4 linked regions of the Ovis aries genome follow. The protein of the gene in region 3 interacts with the protein of the main gene of each other region in a pairwise test. Links are inferred from orthologs where the notes say so. Each region holds a gene or a part of one and is shown on either strand. Other genes may lie near its edges.

What was found. The genes of interacting proteins can lie anywhere in the genome.
Region 1: the proteins of CTBP1 (region 3) and SNRPN interact in a two-hybrid assay, tested with the Homo sapiens proteins (2 studies listed by BioGRID and IntAct). The link is inferred for Ovis aries from reciprocal best matches to the Homo sapiens genes CTBP1 and SNRPN.
Region 2: the proteins of CTBP1 (region 3) and PRKAA1 interact in binary tests that used the Homo sapiens proteins (3 or more experiments, as listed by UniProt). The two-hybrid records come from large-scale screens. The link is inferred for Ovis aries from reciprocal best matches to the Homo sapiens genes CTBP1 and PRKAA1.
Region 4: the proteins of CTBP1 (region 3) and DMRTB1 interact in a two-hybrid assay, tested with the Homo sapiens proteins (4 studies listed by BioGRID). The link is inferred for Ovis aries from reciprocal best matches to the Homo sapiens genes CTBP1 and DMRTB1.

Annotation. Positions count from the first base shown.
Region 1 is NC_056071.1:1,233,855-1,237,354, forward strand, and holds part of SNRPN (small nuclear ribonucleoprotein-associated protein N), read left to right. Parts: intron 1-1,688; coding exon 1,689-1,800; intron 1,801-2,242; coding exon 2,243-2,395; intron 2,396-2,823; coding exon 2,824-2,962; intron 2,963-3,328; coding exon 3,329-3,454; intron 3,455-3,500.
Region 2 is NC_056069.1:33,878,920-33,882,419, forward strand, and holds part of PRKAA1 (5'-AMP-activated protein kinase catalytic subunit alpha-1), read left to right. Parts: exon of another isoform or gene 1-341; coding exon 342-566; exon of another isoform or gene 567-2,371; intron 2,372-2,479; exon of another isoform or gene 2,480-2,492; coding exon 2,493-2,979; exon of another isoform or gene 2,980-3,089; coding exon 3,090-3,216; exon of another isoform or gene 3,217-3,500. UniProt on the Homo sapiens protein: Catalytic subunit of AMP-activated protein kinase (AMPK), an energy sensor protein kinase that plays a key role in regulating cellular energy metabolism.
Region 3 is NC_056059.1:117,891,701-117,895,762, reverse strand, and holds the start of CTBP1 (C-terminal-binding protein 1), read right to left. Parts: upstream 2,801-4,062; 5' UTR 2,619-2,800; coding exon 2,579-2,618; intron 2,337-2,578; exon of another isoform or gene 180-2,336; intron 1-179. UniProt on the Homo sapiens protein: Corepressor targeting diverse transcription regulators such as GLIS2 or BCL6. Has dehydrogenase activity. Involved in controlling the equilibrium between tubular and stacked structures in the Golgi complex.
Region 4 is NC_056054.1:27,988,340-27,990,729, forward strand, and holds the end of DMRTB1 (doublesex- and mab-3-related transcription factor B1), read left to right. Parts: intron 1-352; coding exon 353-551; intron 552-1,825; coding exon 1,826-1,890; downstream 1,891-2,390.

The sequences.
Region 1 (3,500 bases), on a different chromosome or scaffold from region 3:
CTGCATATGAAGTTGGGTCATTTCAGAAATTCTAGATGATGAATGCTAAGTTAATGATCAATGTTAAGGTTTTGTTTAAATAATCTACATTTTTACTGGAAACGATTTTTAAAAAATTACAACTTTGATAAATACTAAAGACAACTGAGAGTGCTTTATCCTTAATTTATGTCTCATTCTTCAGTAGTTTTAGGGATAATTTCACCTAAATAAGGCACTATCTCTATGGTAGAAGTTGTATGCATATATGACTTTTGCTGCTGACACATGAGGAAATTAGACTAACAGAAGTTCAAAAAGTTTTCAGAAAGATTTCCCCTGATTATACCCATGCATACTCAGTCACTTTGGTTGTGTCTGACTCTTTGCCACCTCATGGACTGTAGCCTGCCAGGCTGCCCTGTCCATGAGATTCTCCTGACAAGAACACTGGAGTGGCTTGCCATCTTCCAGGACTCAGACCCACATCTCTTATGTCTCCTGCATTGACAGATGAGTTCTTTACCATTAGCACCACCTGGGAAGCCACTTCCCATGGTTATATAATATGTGGTAAGTCTAGGAATAAGCAGGTGTCTGCTATTAGACTGTTGCTGTTCTCATCCCTTATTTCAGTTGTCTGTCATCAATATTTACTTAATTAGTTAAAAATGATTTAAATCCCATTTTAACATAAAAACTTGGTTTCAATGTTTCCTGTCTTCAAAGTCTTAGCCAGTGTTGATCACTTTATAATGATCTCCTTATAACAGAAATAATTGAATTACTGTGTAGTGCATTAGAAAATAATGTAGTGTTGTAGGTCAGTTATACTTCAAAAACAAACTCAGAAAACGAGATCGAATTTGTGGCTGCCAGAAGCAGGGGGTGGTGGGGCGAATTGGATGAAAGTGGTTAAAAATTATGAATTTCCATTTTTAAGATAATTAGGTACAAGGGATGTGATGCAGAGCATGAGAAATGAAATTAGCAGTGCTGTCTGTTATACATGAAAGTTATTAAAAGAGTTCATCACAAGGAAAAACATTTTTTTTCTTTTGTATCTGTAAGACATGTTGGAGGTCCACTAAAATTATTGTGGTAGTCATTTCATGAAATAAGTAAGTCATTATGGTATAGACCTTGAAGTTAACACAGTATGGTTTGTCAATTGTATGTCAGTAAAACTGGAAGGAGAAAGATAAAATTCTAAGTTTTGCTATCAGTAAAGACCCTTATGCTGGAAAAGATTGAGGGCAGGAGGAGAAGAGGGTGACAGAGGATGAGATGATTGGATGGTATCACTGACTCAATGGGCGTGAGTTTGAACAAACTCTGGGAGACAGTGAAAGATAGGAAAGTATATTGTGCTGCAGTTCCTGGGGTCGCAGAGTCAGCATGACTTACCAGTTGAACAATAGCAACAACTATTAAAAGAATCTTAGCAATGTTATTTGCATCTATGTTTCACAAAGAAGAAATTAGTTTTGCTATAGTACAACATTGAGGGAATATTCTGAAAGTTTGATGTATGATAGGAAAAGAGCTCACGTTATATATCGAGTCTAGTTTTCTTTGTTTTTGTCACGACTCAGTAACTGAGCATGACTATCTGGGCATGGATTACTGTCTTGATAGGTAATTATCTATAAAAATGTTAGTGAGTCGATCCATAACTTACCATACTAAAATTTTCTTCCCGTTTATAGGCCAAAGAATGCTAAGCAGCCAGAGCGTGAAGAAAAGCGAGTTTTGGGTCTGGTGTTGTTGCGTGGGGAGAACTTGGTTTCCATGACTGTGGAGGGACCACCCCCCAAAGATGTAAGAAAGATGTAGGACAGGACAGAACATTAATGTGGGAGGGAATCACATTGTTTGAATTATGTGCTAAATGAGTGTACAACAGAGACAAAGTATACTATACCTTTGTCAAAATGTGCCTGGCACTTGATATAAGTTCTTGTTTGTCTATAATGGGAGATTAAGCATATTCTATAGAGTTATGCTGACTACAATCTAGTTAAGGGTAGGAGTGCTGATTTATTTTCTCTTGATAGGATCATGAAAATATATGGGCTCCCAATTTGACTAGTGTACATCTAGTCTGTAGGATGCTTCTCTTGATGCTATTTTCAATATAGAACCTCATATGAGATAGGGTATATGGGAAAATGTTGGAAAGAGGTAATTATTTAGGAATGATTATTGATAGATAGGTTTCATAAATTTGATTTCAAGCTATATATGTATTTTTTTGTTTCAGACTGGCATTGCTCGGGTACCACTTGCTGGAGCTGCAGGGGGCCCTGGGGTTGGCAGGGCAGCTGGCAGAGGCGTTCCAGCTGGTGTTCCAATTCCCCAGGCTCCTGCTGGATTAGCAGGACCTGTCCGAGGGGTTGGGGGCCCATCTCAACAGGTGAGGAACCAGGAATGTTATTGAGAGAAAGTACCTGGAATCTGATATTGAGGAGGTAGAAAAAACTGAGTGAACATCCTGTACTGCGTAAAGCAGTATATGCTGTAGAGGGAAGAGAGGTAAAAATATACATTATGAAGCCACCATGATAGCAGTAACTCAGCACTGATGAGCAAAGAGGAATATGGATGGATAAACCAGAGTTGAGCATGCAAAGGGCTGATGAGGTTAAAAGTGGACATGTTCATTTTAAAGGATAGTGTGATAGTGGTGATAGTGTGCTTTAAATGAGAAAAATGGGAGAAGTGCAGAATTACTATAATTACTTTATGTTTAATAAATAGTGTATGATCAGCCTTTTATTTTCTGTATTTGAATGATGTGAGGAAGTGTTAATATTTGCTGTCTATCTGTGTGTTCTTTCTCAGGTAATGACCCCACAGGGAAGAGGCACTGTAGCAGCTGCTGCAGTTGCTGCTACTGCCAGCATTGCTGGAGCTCCAACTCAGTATCCACCAGGACGGGGGACTGCACCTACACCTGTTGGTCGAGCAACCCCACCTCCAGGTAAGGAATTGGTGGAGAATTCGGTTCTAAAAGGAATTCTAAAAGAATTTGGTTGTTAGATACCAATGTGGATCTGTGAAATAAAATCATGATGACCAAAATCACTCTTTAAGAAGATACTGAATTAAGGCTCAGCCTAACTCCCTAACTAGGAACTTGGAATATGTTTTCACTTTTGGCCATTGATTTTTAATGAAAAGCTATGGACTCTTGAATTGGGATGATCTGACGTAGCAGTGGTCAAGGAGAAATTTGTTCAACTCTTTACTTACTACCTGGCTTATTTTTTTAACTATTATCTTGTGCTTTATGCTACCATCTTAGCTGATTTATGTGCCTTTTTTTTCCTGCCATTTTTCTTTCTAGGAATTATGGCTCCTCCACCTGGTATGAGACCACCCATGGGCCCACCAATTGGGCTTCCTCCTACTCGTGGGACACCAATAGGCATGCCCCCTCCAGGAATGAGACCCCCTCCACCAGGGATAAGAGGTGAGTGAGTGTTAATAATTTTCTCAGTGGTACTAGCCAGGCCCCT
Region 2 (3,500 bases), on a different chromosome or scaffold from region 3:
ATGATATGTTTGTTCAAAGTTTGGCCCTATTAGTTGGAGGTACAAAGTGCTTTTACTCTATATTGAAGTATGATGTCTCAAGATAGGACAATTGTGCGGTACTGAGGAGATAATTTTAGCTATAGTCTGTAACTTTAAAAAAATTCTTAAATTTTGTGTCCTGAGATAATATTGATAGAATTAGTGTAGAATCTCTATGTGTAGTACATAGCAGTGACTTATAGAAACCATATTCTGACTAATAATTCTTTATAAAATATCTGTATTTAAAATGTATGATTCATTGATTGACTCTTAAGTTACTAATGATTGTTTAACCCAGTTGGTATTTCCTGTTGCAGATTGTATGCTGGCCCAGAGGTAGATATATGGAGCAGTGGGGTTATTCTCTACGCTTTATTATGTGGAACCCTTCCATTTGATGATGATCATGTGCCAACTCTTTTTAAGAAGATATGTGATGGGATCTTTTATACCCCTCAATATTTAAATCCTTCTGTGATTAGCCTTTTGAAACATATGCTGCAGGTGGATCCCATGAAGAGAGCCACAATCAAAGATATCAGGTGAGAAAGCAATCTGATTGTCAGATCTAACAGTATCCGTGATATAAGTCAAGTGAAAGAGAAATTTGCAGAATAGTTTGTACAATGTAATCCCATTTTTATATTAAAAACAATGTATAGACTCAAACTTATTTTATCTTGATATTTAAAAATACTAAACTGGCTACCTTAGGAAGTAAGATTAGGAGGAGGAAAGGCTTTCACTTTTTGCTTATGCTTCTTTATTTGTTTTGAAATTGTAACTGTGAACATTACTTTTTAAATTTAAAAAAAAAAGATGTAATGAAAAATAAAAAAGACCCTAGTCGGGTATTAGATTTGGTAGTGATTCTTTAAGATTTTCTGTAATATGCTTCATGTTTGACTTTTACACATTCTCATACTTTTTCATAGTAAATTTGTATATTGCTTTTTGAGTTCTCATCTTACAAGTTACTGTATTTTTCCCTTTTGTTCATCTCTAGGAATAAGAACATTTTAATTCAGTCAATGACATGTTGTTTTTGTAGTAGTATACATTGAATTACATATGAAATTATTGTTTTGTAAGTAAAAGGTCCACCAGTATTGCCAGTTTCATGTGGTTCAACCTAACAGTTTAAATAAGGCAAAAGTGATGATGACAAATCTCAAATTTGAGCAGGTCATTTCTGATGAAGATAATACTGCAAACTTTGTTTCTACTACCACTGTTTTTCTTTCCTTTTTTCGTTAATGGAAATTTCTCTTTTGGTCTTCTAATGGCTATATAGAACATTTCTCTGAGATGGAGGAAGAAGGATGAAAGAAATCAGATATGTATTTGGGACCAGTAAAGACGAAAGTATTAGGGCAATGAAGAAGAAAGAGCATATGTAGAACTTAAAGTTTGATTCCTAAAATAAATAAATAATAAGGACCTACTTTATAAGCACAGGGGACCCTATTCAATACTATGTAATGACTTGTATGGGGAAAGAGTCTAAAAAAGAGTGGATATATGTGTAACTGATTCGCTGTGTTGTACAGCAGAAAGTAACACAACATTGTAAACCAACTACACTCCAGTAAAAAAAAAAACAAAGCTTAATTCCTTTCCATTTACTCCATTTTCTGCAGACTAAAAAAGAGAAGGAATGGTAGGTCATGACTTCACTACTAGAAGAGAAGGACTGATTCATCTCTAAATTTATATTTCAGAATATCTTAGAGGTGGTTTTTCTTGTGTTTTACCTACTTTTTTCCAATTTAAATGAAATATGTGACAATTGGAAAAGACTTAGAAAACACCAAAAACATTAGAGAATTTAAATGATCTTTAATTCCATTATCCAGAAGATAATCTTTGTTCTTTGGGGTGTTTCCTCTCAATATTTTAAATTTTAGCATATTTTTATACAATTGAAGTCCAAAAATATCCCTTTATATGTAAAATTAGGAAATCTCAGTTCCTTCATTAAAATAAGGGGACATTATTATTATCTTACTGGAGTTGTTTGAAAATGAGGTGAGATAACAGATATGAAGTGTTCAGCTTAAAATCTACCACATAGTAAGCATTCAATGAGTGAAAGCTGTCTATTTTTGTTTATATATTTTTTTCACTTAACAATATATCCCAAGAGGAAACCACAGACTAATTTTGTTCTTTTCTGAGCTGGAAATAAGATGTCTTTACCATTAGCATGCCATTGCCATTTGTTCCAAAAATTTAAAGTGTAGACACTTCTTCCCTGGTTGCTCCAGCAGTGTTGTCTCCCTCTTACTATGAGAGGAAGGCTGAGCATTTCTGTTATACAATGAAATGTGAGCCAAGAGAGAAAAATCTGTTTTAAAAAAATGATAACAGTATGAATGATAATACTGTACGAGTATAAATTCCCCAAACAGTTACTTTCAGTCTCCTCTCTCCTCCAAACCCTTCTGACACCTACCATTTTCTCTCAGGGAACATGAATGGTTTAAACAGGACCTTCCAAAATATCTCTTTCCTGAGGATCCATCATATAGCTCAACCATGATTGATGATGAAGCCTTAAAAGAAGTATGTGAAAAATTTGAATGCTCAGAGGAGGAGGTTCTCAGCTGCCTTTATAACAGAAATCACCAGGACCCTTTGGCAGTTGCCTACCACCTCATAATAGATAACAGGAGGATAATGAACGAGGCCAAAGATTTTTACTTGGCAACAAGCCCACCAGATTCTTTTCTCGACGATCACCACTTGACCCGGCCCCATCCTGAAAGAGTACCATTCTTGGTTGCTGAAACTCCCAGGGCGCGCCATACCCTCGATGAATTAAATCCACAGAAATCTAAACACCAAGGTGTAAGGAAAGCAAAATGGCATTTGGGAATTAGAAGTCAAAGTCGGCCAAATGATATCATGGCAGAAGTTTGTAGAGCAATTAAACAACTGGATTATGAATGGAAGGTAAGAAAGAAAGAGCATTCTGAATATTAGCACATTTGACAAACCTGTAGTCTATCATGTTTTATAGAAGAATTCCTTTTCACTTTGTTTTTGTCCATACCATGCGCTAGGTTGTAAACCCGTATTATTTGCGTGTTCGGAGGAAGAATCCTGTGACAAGTACATACTCCAAAATGAGTCTGCAGTTATACCAAGTGGATAGTAGAACATATTTATTGGATTTCCGAAGTATTGATGGTATGTACATCACACAGAACAATGTAGACGACATATTAGACCTTGTTACTTACTTTGGGATTTTAGTAAATCTTTGAGTCTTTTGAAGCTTCTTGAATTGTACCTCGTAATTCAATAGCAAAAGAACATAAAAGCACCTTTTAGATTTGAATATTTGAGAATCTAGGAAATAGTTTATTGTCCTTTTAAGACTATCTTCTAAAATCCTTAAAGCGTTATACAGCTTTATCTTAAACTGATAGTTTGTTACATTTTTGTTTCTTGTAGTTCATTTTGGTAAGATG
Region 3 (4,062 bases):
GTCGCTGAGCCCCCAGACTGGTCACAGCACATCCCTGCATCTGCAGAACGCCCCGGGTTCCTGAGAGCCCAGGCCTAGGCCTCAGCGCACCCGCAGCGCTGGCTCAGGGGCACGCACTGGCTCATGCCGCCTGGTGCAGGGCTACGGAGCATCGCAAAGCGGACACTCCCAGAGCTCACCTCCGAACAGCCTCTGCTTCCGCTCCAGCCCCAGAACTGCCGCCTCAAACTCAAGTTCCAAACTCTGCAGCCACGAACAGGGTCCCTGACCCCACGTCCAGCCCTCCAGCCATCTCCCCGGCCCCACGGCCCCCACGCTCCACCAGGCTTCCGGCCTGCACACTGCGGCCCCCTGGTCACCGCAGTCCCTTGCACACGCCTCATCAGCAGGAAGCGCATGCGTCACTGCCCCTGGTACCTTCCCATCCTCCTCTGCAAAGCCGGCCCATCGGTCAGGATGTGCCCTTTGGCTGACCACGAGTCACAGCTGACACACCAAGGCCCCCCGCCCACCCCCGTGTCACTCTGTCGGAAGAGCCGGCAGCAGCCACGCCTTCTCCAGCTCACCCCTGCCCCCAGCACAGCCGTCTGAGCAGGGTTCTGGCCACACTGACAGGGCGGGTCTGGCTGTGGTGGATGCTGAGCCCCTGGAGGCAAGGCCAGGGGGCTCCCCCAGGCACACAGGGCTTCAGAGCACCCGCAGCAGGCCCACCCACCAAGAGTCAGCCTCACAGCGCAGTGTCCTCAGCTCCTCAGAAACCAAAAGGCGCCCCGCACACGTGCTAGATAAAAGCCGTGACGCGAGGCACGTATGTGTCACGAAGACCCCTCGCCACTCGAATTCATCTCTGCCACCGTCTTCACTCACGCCCACCTGTGTGCACATGCCCTGCTACCTTCGTGATGCTCAAGAGTCCCAGGAAAACTTCACCCAAATCAAGTGACAGAGAGGGGCAGGTTCACTGTGAAACAAACCGCGGCCCTGCACGCCACCCTCCTGCCTTCCGGAGGGACAGTCTGCACAGGGACCCCGGTCCTGAGCCTTGCCCCCTACCTCCAGGGCCTAGCACCCTCCCCATCCCCCGCCCTGCCCCTCCACCTGACAGGTGGCACCCGCTCCGTCACGTGGCCCCACTTCTAACGCTCCAGCCCCTCTACAGCCACAGCGCAGAGAGCACAAGGCCACGACCATGCACCAGGCAGGGGCTCAGCCTGGGCTCCCTGAGCGCCAGGCCTGCGCTCTTGCCTGCTGCGGCCACTCGTCCAGAGGCTCAGGGATGCCGCCCCGTGCAAGAATGGACAGGAGACGCTAACCCACAGGGCACCCGCCCGTCCACACTGCTGGAGACGAGCTTTCTCCTGAGTGTCTGTCTGCCTCTGCGTACATACATTTGAGACTTGGGTGGGGGGATCCTGGAGAGGGAGAAGGTGCCCCCGCGGGGTAAGACCTGCAGACCCCACTCTGGACCCCTCATGTGCGACCCAACTGTCCAGTCATCCAGACAAACGGGAGGGGTGGTATCACTCCTCGGGGCGGGCTCGGAAGAAAACCAATCCCATCGCACGCCCCAACAGCGAGCCTGTCCTAACCAACCACAGAGAAGAGCATCACCGGAAAGGAGGCTGCCCGCCACAGGCCGCCCTCCCGGCAAGCCCAGGGCCGGGGGTGGGGGGGGACCCTCCGCGGCAGGCAGGCACCGGCCAGAGGGAGCCCCGCCCGGACCCACGGCCGCTCCTGCGTCCACAGACCTCGGAGCCCGGGGCCCGGACGCGCCCCCAGCGCGAGGGGGGCCCGGCCGGGGGAGCTGGGCCTGCTCGGGGGCAGTGACAGGTGGACACGGCCCGGCCCGACGGCGGCGGCGCGCGGCGGCCAGCAAAGCCCCACCGCGGGCCGCCCCCGGCCGCAGGCTCGGGGCGCCGCCCGGGCACGGAGTGCGCCTGCTCCCCACACTTGACAGAGCAAGGAGGGGACGGGGTGAGACGGACGCGGCCACAACCGTCCGGCCGCTCGGGCGGACACGGGCCCGGGCCGGGTGTCACCCCCGCCGCCGCGCCCCGTCAGACGTTTCCACAGCGGGGCCGCAGTGCACGGGGGCGCAAAGCCCCGGAAGGCCCAGCCCCAGAGGACTCGGGGCCGCCGGCGCGCCCGGCCTCCCTGCGGGGCCCCGCCGGCAGGAGCCCCGCCAGCCGGGACCGCAGGGCGGACAGGCCGGCAGGGCCCCCGCCTCGGGCGCGGAGTCCCGGCCGCCACGGTCCTCAGGGCCCCGCACCCCTTTGTGTCACCTGCGCGGGCGGGCGGGCGGGCGGGGCGGCGGCGCACGCGCACTCGCGCACAGCAGCCCGCGCACGCGCGCGGCGGCCCCCGCGGCCCTGACCCCGGCCCCGCCCCCCGGGCGCCGGCGCGCACGCAGCAGCCCGCGCATGCGCACGGCGCCCCCCGCGGCCCCGGCCCCCGGCGCGCGGACGCCGGCGCGCACGCGCACTCGCACACAAAGCCGGCGCCCGCGCCCGCCCCGCCCGCCCCCGCGGCCCCGCCCCGCCCCGCCCCCGCGGCCGGAAATGCGCGCGCGCGGCCTTACCGAGCGGCAGGCCCTTGTTGAGCAAGTGCGAGCTGCCCATGGAAAGGTGCGGGCGGCCGCGGGCCCCGACCAGTCCGGCGCGCTCCGCCGCGAGCCCGGCGCGTGGCGCGGCCTGGGCGCCGTCCGCCGCTCCGCCCGCTTGCCTGCGCCCGGGCGCCGCCGTGCCGAGCCGCCGCGCCGCGCCAGCAGCCGCTCCACCGGGCGGGGACAGGGCGCGCGCGCGGGCGGGGCTTCCGGCGCGGCGGCCTCCTGTTTCCAGGAGCGGGCGCCGCGCAGACCACGCGGGCGGCTGCAGGCCGCGCCCGCCCGCCCCGCCCGCCCCCCGGGCCCGGCGCCCCGCCCCGCCCCGCCGGCCGCACCTGCCGGGCGCCCCGCGGGCCCCGCGCGCGCTCTCGCCGCGGCCCCCCGGCCTGGAGCCCGCTGAGCCCCTCGTGCACCTTCCCGCGTGCTCCCATCCCCGCACCCACGCGCCGGCCGCCGAGCGAGCGGCGTCTGCGACCCCGGGTTTTAAGGGTCCTTTGGGCTCCTTGGGGCCACGAGGTCGGGGGAGGCAGCGGCGCCGCCCCCGGAGGTTCCTCTGAGATAACCGGCCCTTGTGCTTGAGATCCGGGGACCGAGGAGGGCACAGGCCTGGGCGGGGCAGCTCCCCCGGAACCGGGGCGGTGGAAGTGGTCCCTGGGAAGCGGCCAGGTATGTGGCCGAAGTCGGTGTAAATCCGACCTCCCCCACCCCACCCCCAGCCCCAGCGAGCGACCTGTGCTTCGTTCCAGAACTCCCGAGGGGTCCTGGCACTCGAGGGTCAGGAGGGCTCTCCAGGGTGGGAGGTCGCCAGGCCCCAAGGTCAAGGTGCTCCGGTCATGGGCAAGGACGGAGGCTGACCCTGGGAGACCGTGATGTCTAGAGCAGGGGTGTCCTGGCAGTGGGAATGCTGGCAGGTGGCCTTGAAGACGGGCAGTGCCCCTGTCTTCACAGGTGAAAAGCACGCTGAGCAGGACAGCAGTTGGCTGGTGAAACGCGAGGAACCGTGCTGAGCGCAGCTGGCCTCCACATCCTGCACATCCACAAGCCAGTGAGAAAGGGTGGGTGGGTTTGATAAGCGTCGATAGGGGAACTGGGCATCTAGCCACAGAACAGATGCTTTTAAATTCGTGCTTGGTACTCACCTGTGAGATTACCTCCCAAATTGGGTTAATTAGAACATTTAGGGGAAATGAGAAAACAGGGTTAAATGAACATTCAGCAAGTCTCAGAGAACTTTCCTGAACACAGACAAAACCACTCACAAGGGAAAGCCCGGACCCCCAGACCTGGGCACGTGTCTGGCCCGCACACCCCTCTGGCTCTCTCAGTTAACAGGATGGGGCCCCTGAGGCGACTCCTCCAGCCCCTGCTGTCCGAGACCAGGGTTCTCCTTCCCTACCCGGGCCCCAGCCCAAGGTCACCTGCCCCTCTCCAGCCCAGCAAGCTGCGCAGTGAGCGTGAGA
Region 4 (2,390 bases), on a different chromosome or scaffold from region 3:
CCCAGCTCTGGCCTGGGCCTGTACCGTCTCTCACTGATGCTGGTTTTTGTCGCTGCAGTGAGGATGGTTAATGGACCCTCCCTCCTAGGGTCGTCAGGATAGAATGAGGCTGTAGACATACTCAAATGCAGCTGCTCCCCAGGCTTCTCTGCGTTGTGCTTGTGTCCGTCCTTGCCTTCAGTCAGCTGGCAGGGGTTTGCTGAACACCCTGTTCTGAGTATCCTGTGCTCCACTGTCTGGGCTGCAGAGATGAATCACCTCCACAGGGAGCCCCCATTCAGGGGCCTGAATGTGGGATCGGCCCCCTGGCTCACCCTCTGCCCTCTGACTGCCTGCTGTGTGTGCCCTGCAGGTGGCGGAACCTGTGGGAGACTTCCAGCCAAGCTACTACCAGCCGCTGGGGCAGCCGCCACTGGGGCAGCCGCCGCAGCCTCAATTCCTCCCGCCGGGCTTGCTGTCTGCGCTCCACTTCCTCCTGCCGCCGCTGCCCCCACCGCCTCCAGCAACCTTCTCGCTGACCGTCCTGTCTGACACGGACAAGGAGAACACCGGTGAGTGAGGCCCCGTCTTCCAGCTGCCGAGGGACACAGGAAGACTCTGGAGGATGGGGGTCCTACTATGACGTGGGCGTGGAGGGCAGGGAAATGGAGAATAGGATTTTCAATGTCCTGGGCCCTGGGGAAACTCTTTCCTGGCACCGCTCTCTTAAATTCCATACATGAACTTCTAGGGGAGGTGAGTCCCCATTCTCAGGTGAGGAAACTGTGATAGAACCCTGAGAGGGTCTCACATATGTACATGGTGCAGCTCGGGTTCCAACAGAAGTCTCTGTCTGGCTCCAGCTTCAACGCTAATTTCCTCACCTTAACAGTTCCTGTGGGCAAAACATGGAGGATGGCACGCGCGTGGTGCCGAAGGACCAGAGGTGCCAGGCCTCTCTGGCTGGGGAAGCAGCACGTGCTGAGCCTGCCTGGGGCTGGTGGGGATGATTCCTCTGGCTCGGGCCACTCTGGCCTTCACAGCTCGGTCACTGGTGCACTGGGTGATCTTGGGCACTCACACCCTCCTCTGGGCCTCAGTCTTCTCACCTGTTAAGTGGGCCCTGTCACAGGGTTACTGTGAGGGTTTTCTTTTGAGGGCCCTTGAAGCTTTAAAAGTTGTAGGATTTTTTCTTCCCTCTTTCAGTCCTCCCCTGAGGCTCCTTAAGAAAAGAAACCGAGGCCTGTTGTATGTCCGATGCCTAGATCTGTTAACTGGGGAAGTGGTACAGTGTGACTTGAAGTACGATGGCCCTGGTGCCGCACAGCCTGGGTGTAAGTCCTGGCTCCAGCACTTGCCCACGGTGTGACCTCGGGCAAGTTCATTCACTCCTCGGTGCTTCAGTTTCGGTATCTGCAAGAGCAAACTAATGAAGGGTCCCTTCCCTCATGAGCTCATCCTGAGGATTAAACAAAACCTAAAATGACGAAGGCATTGGTAAAGATTGTTCTCACTGTTGTCCCTAATCCCCATGCCAACCATGATGCTGCATAGTAAGCACCTTCTAATGGACAGAAGGAGACGCTGAGGTTCAGAGCTGAGAGTAGCTCGCTTCCTGCCACCCAGCTTGTGACAAGCAGAGCTGGAGTCTGAACTTGAGTCTATATCCTCTGGCCAGGGCTAGAATCCCAGTTTCCTGACTCCTAGCAAATTAAAAGTAGGAATGGGAATAACTAATTCTCTGTAGGGACTGGCAATGATGGTGATGCCTTGTAGAAAACTTATGTGTGAAAACAGGTGATTTCCCCTCTTTCTCAATCCAGCCCCTCTTCTCTGTCCTTCACAGATGACCAGGATGTGGAAGGGCCGAGCGAGCCCAGCCAGCCATCGTCCCAGGAGCAGTCCGACTAGGCCCAGGCCCTCAGGCCAGCAGCGTGGGGCCTTGGTGGGGGGGCGGGGGGGGGGTGCTTGCAGCAATGATTTTCTTGTCTCTATTCAGTGATATGTAGGGAGGAAGGGTAGTGATAAGCTAAGGTGGCCGTGAATTCCCATTTCAAGATAGGAGGAAGAGTGTGGTTGCTAAGGTTCTCTCAAGCCTGAGACACAGGGCTTGAAAAGGAACTCAGAGGATGAAGTCACCAGGGCTCGGCCAGAGCTCTGAGATGTGGGAGGCTGGCGAGAGCTCACATTTCAGAATGAATTTAGCCAGCTCTGTGTTGGTTGCTGTTAGTCAGATTCACCCCAGAGGCGGCCTTTGACTTCCTCAGGTCCTGCTGCAGGGCAGAGGCACGGTCTACCTCAGCCTCTGCTTCTGCTGCCTCTGTCTGGTCCCCAGCAGGAGGCAGCACAGATATCAGGCGTCCAGCACATCCAAGTGGATGGCGGGAGCAGCCAGGACCAGGGTGCTGAGC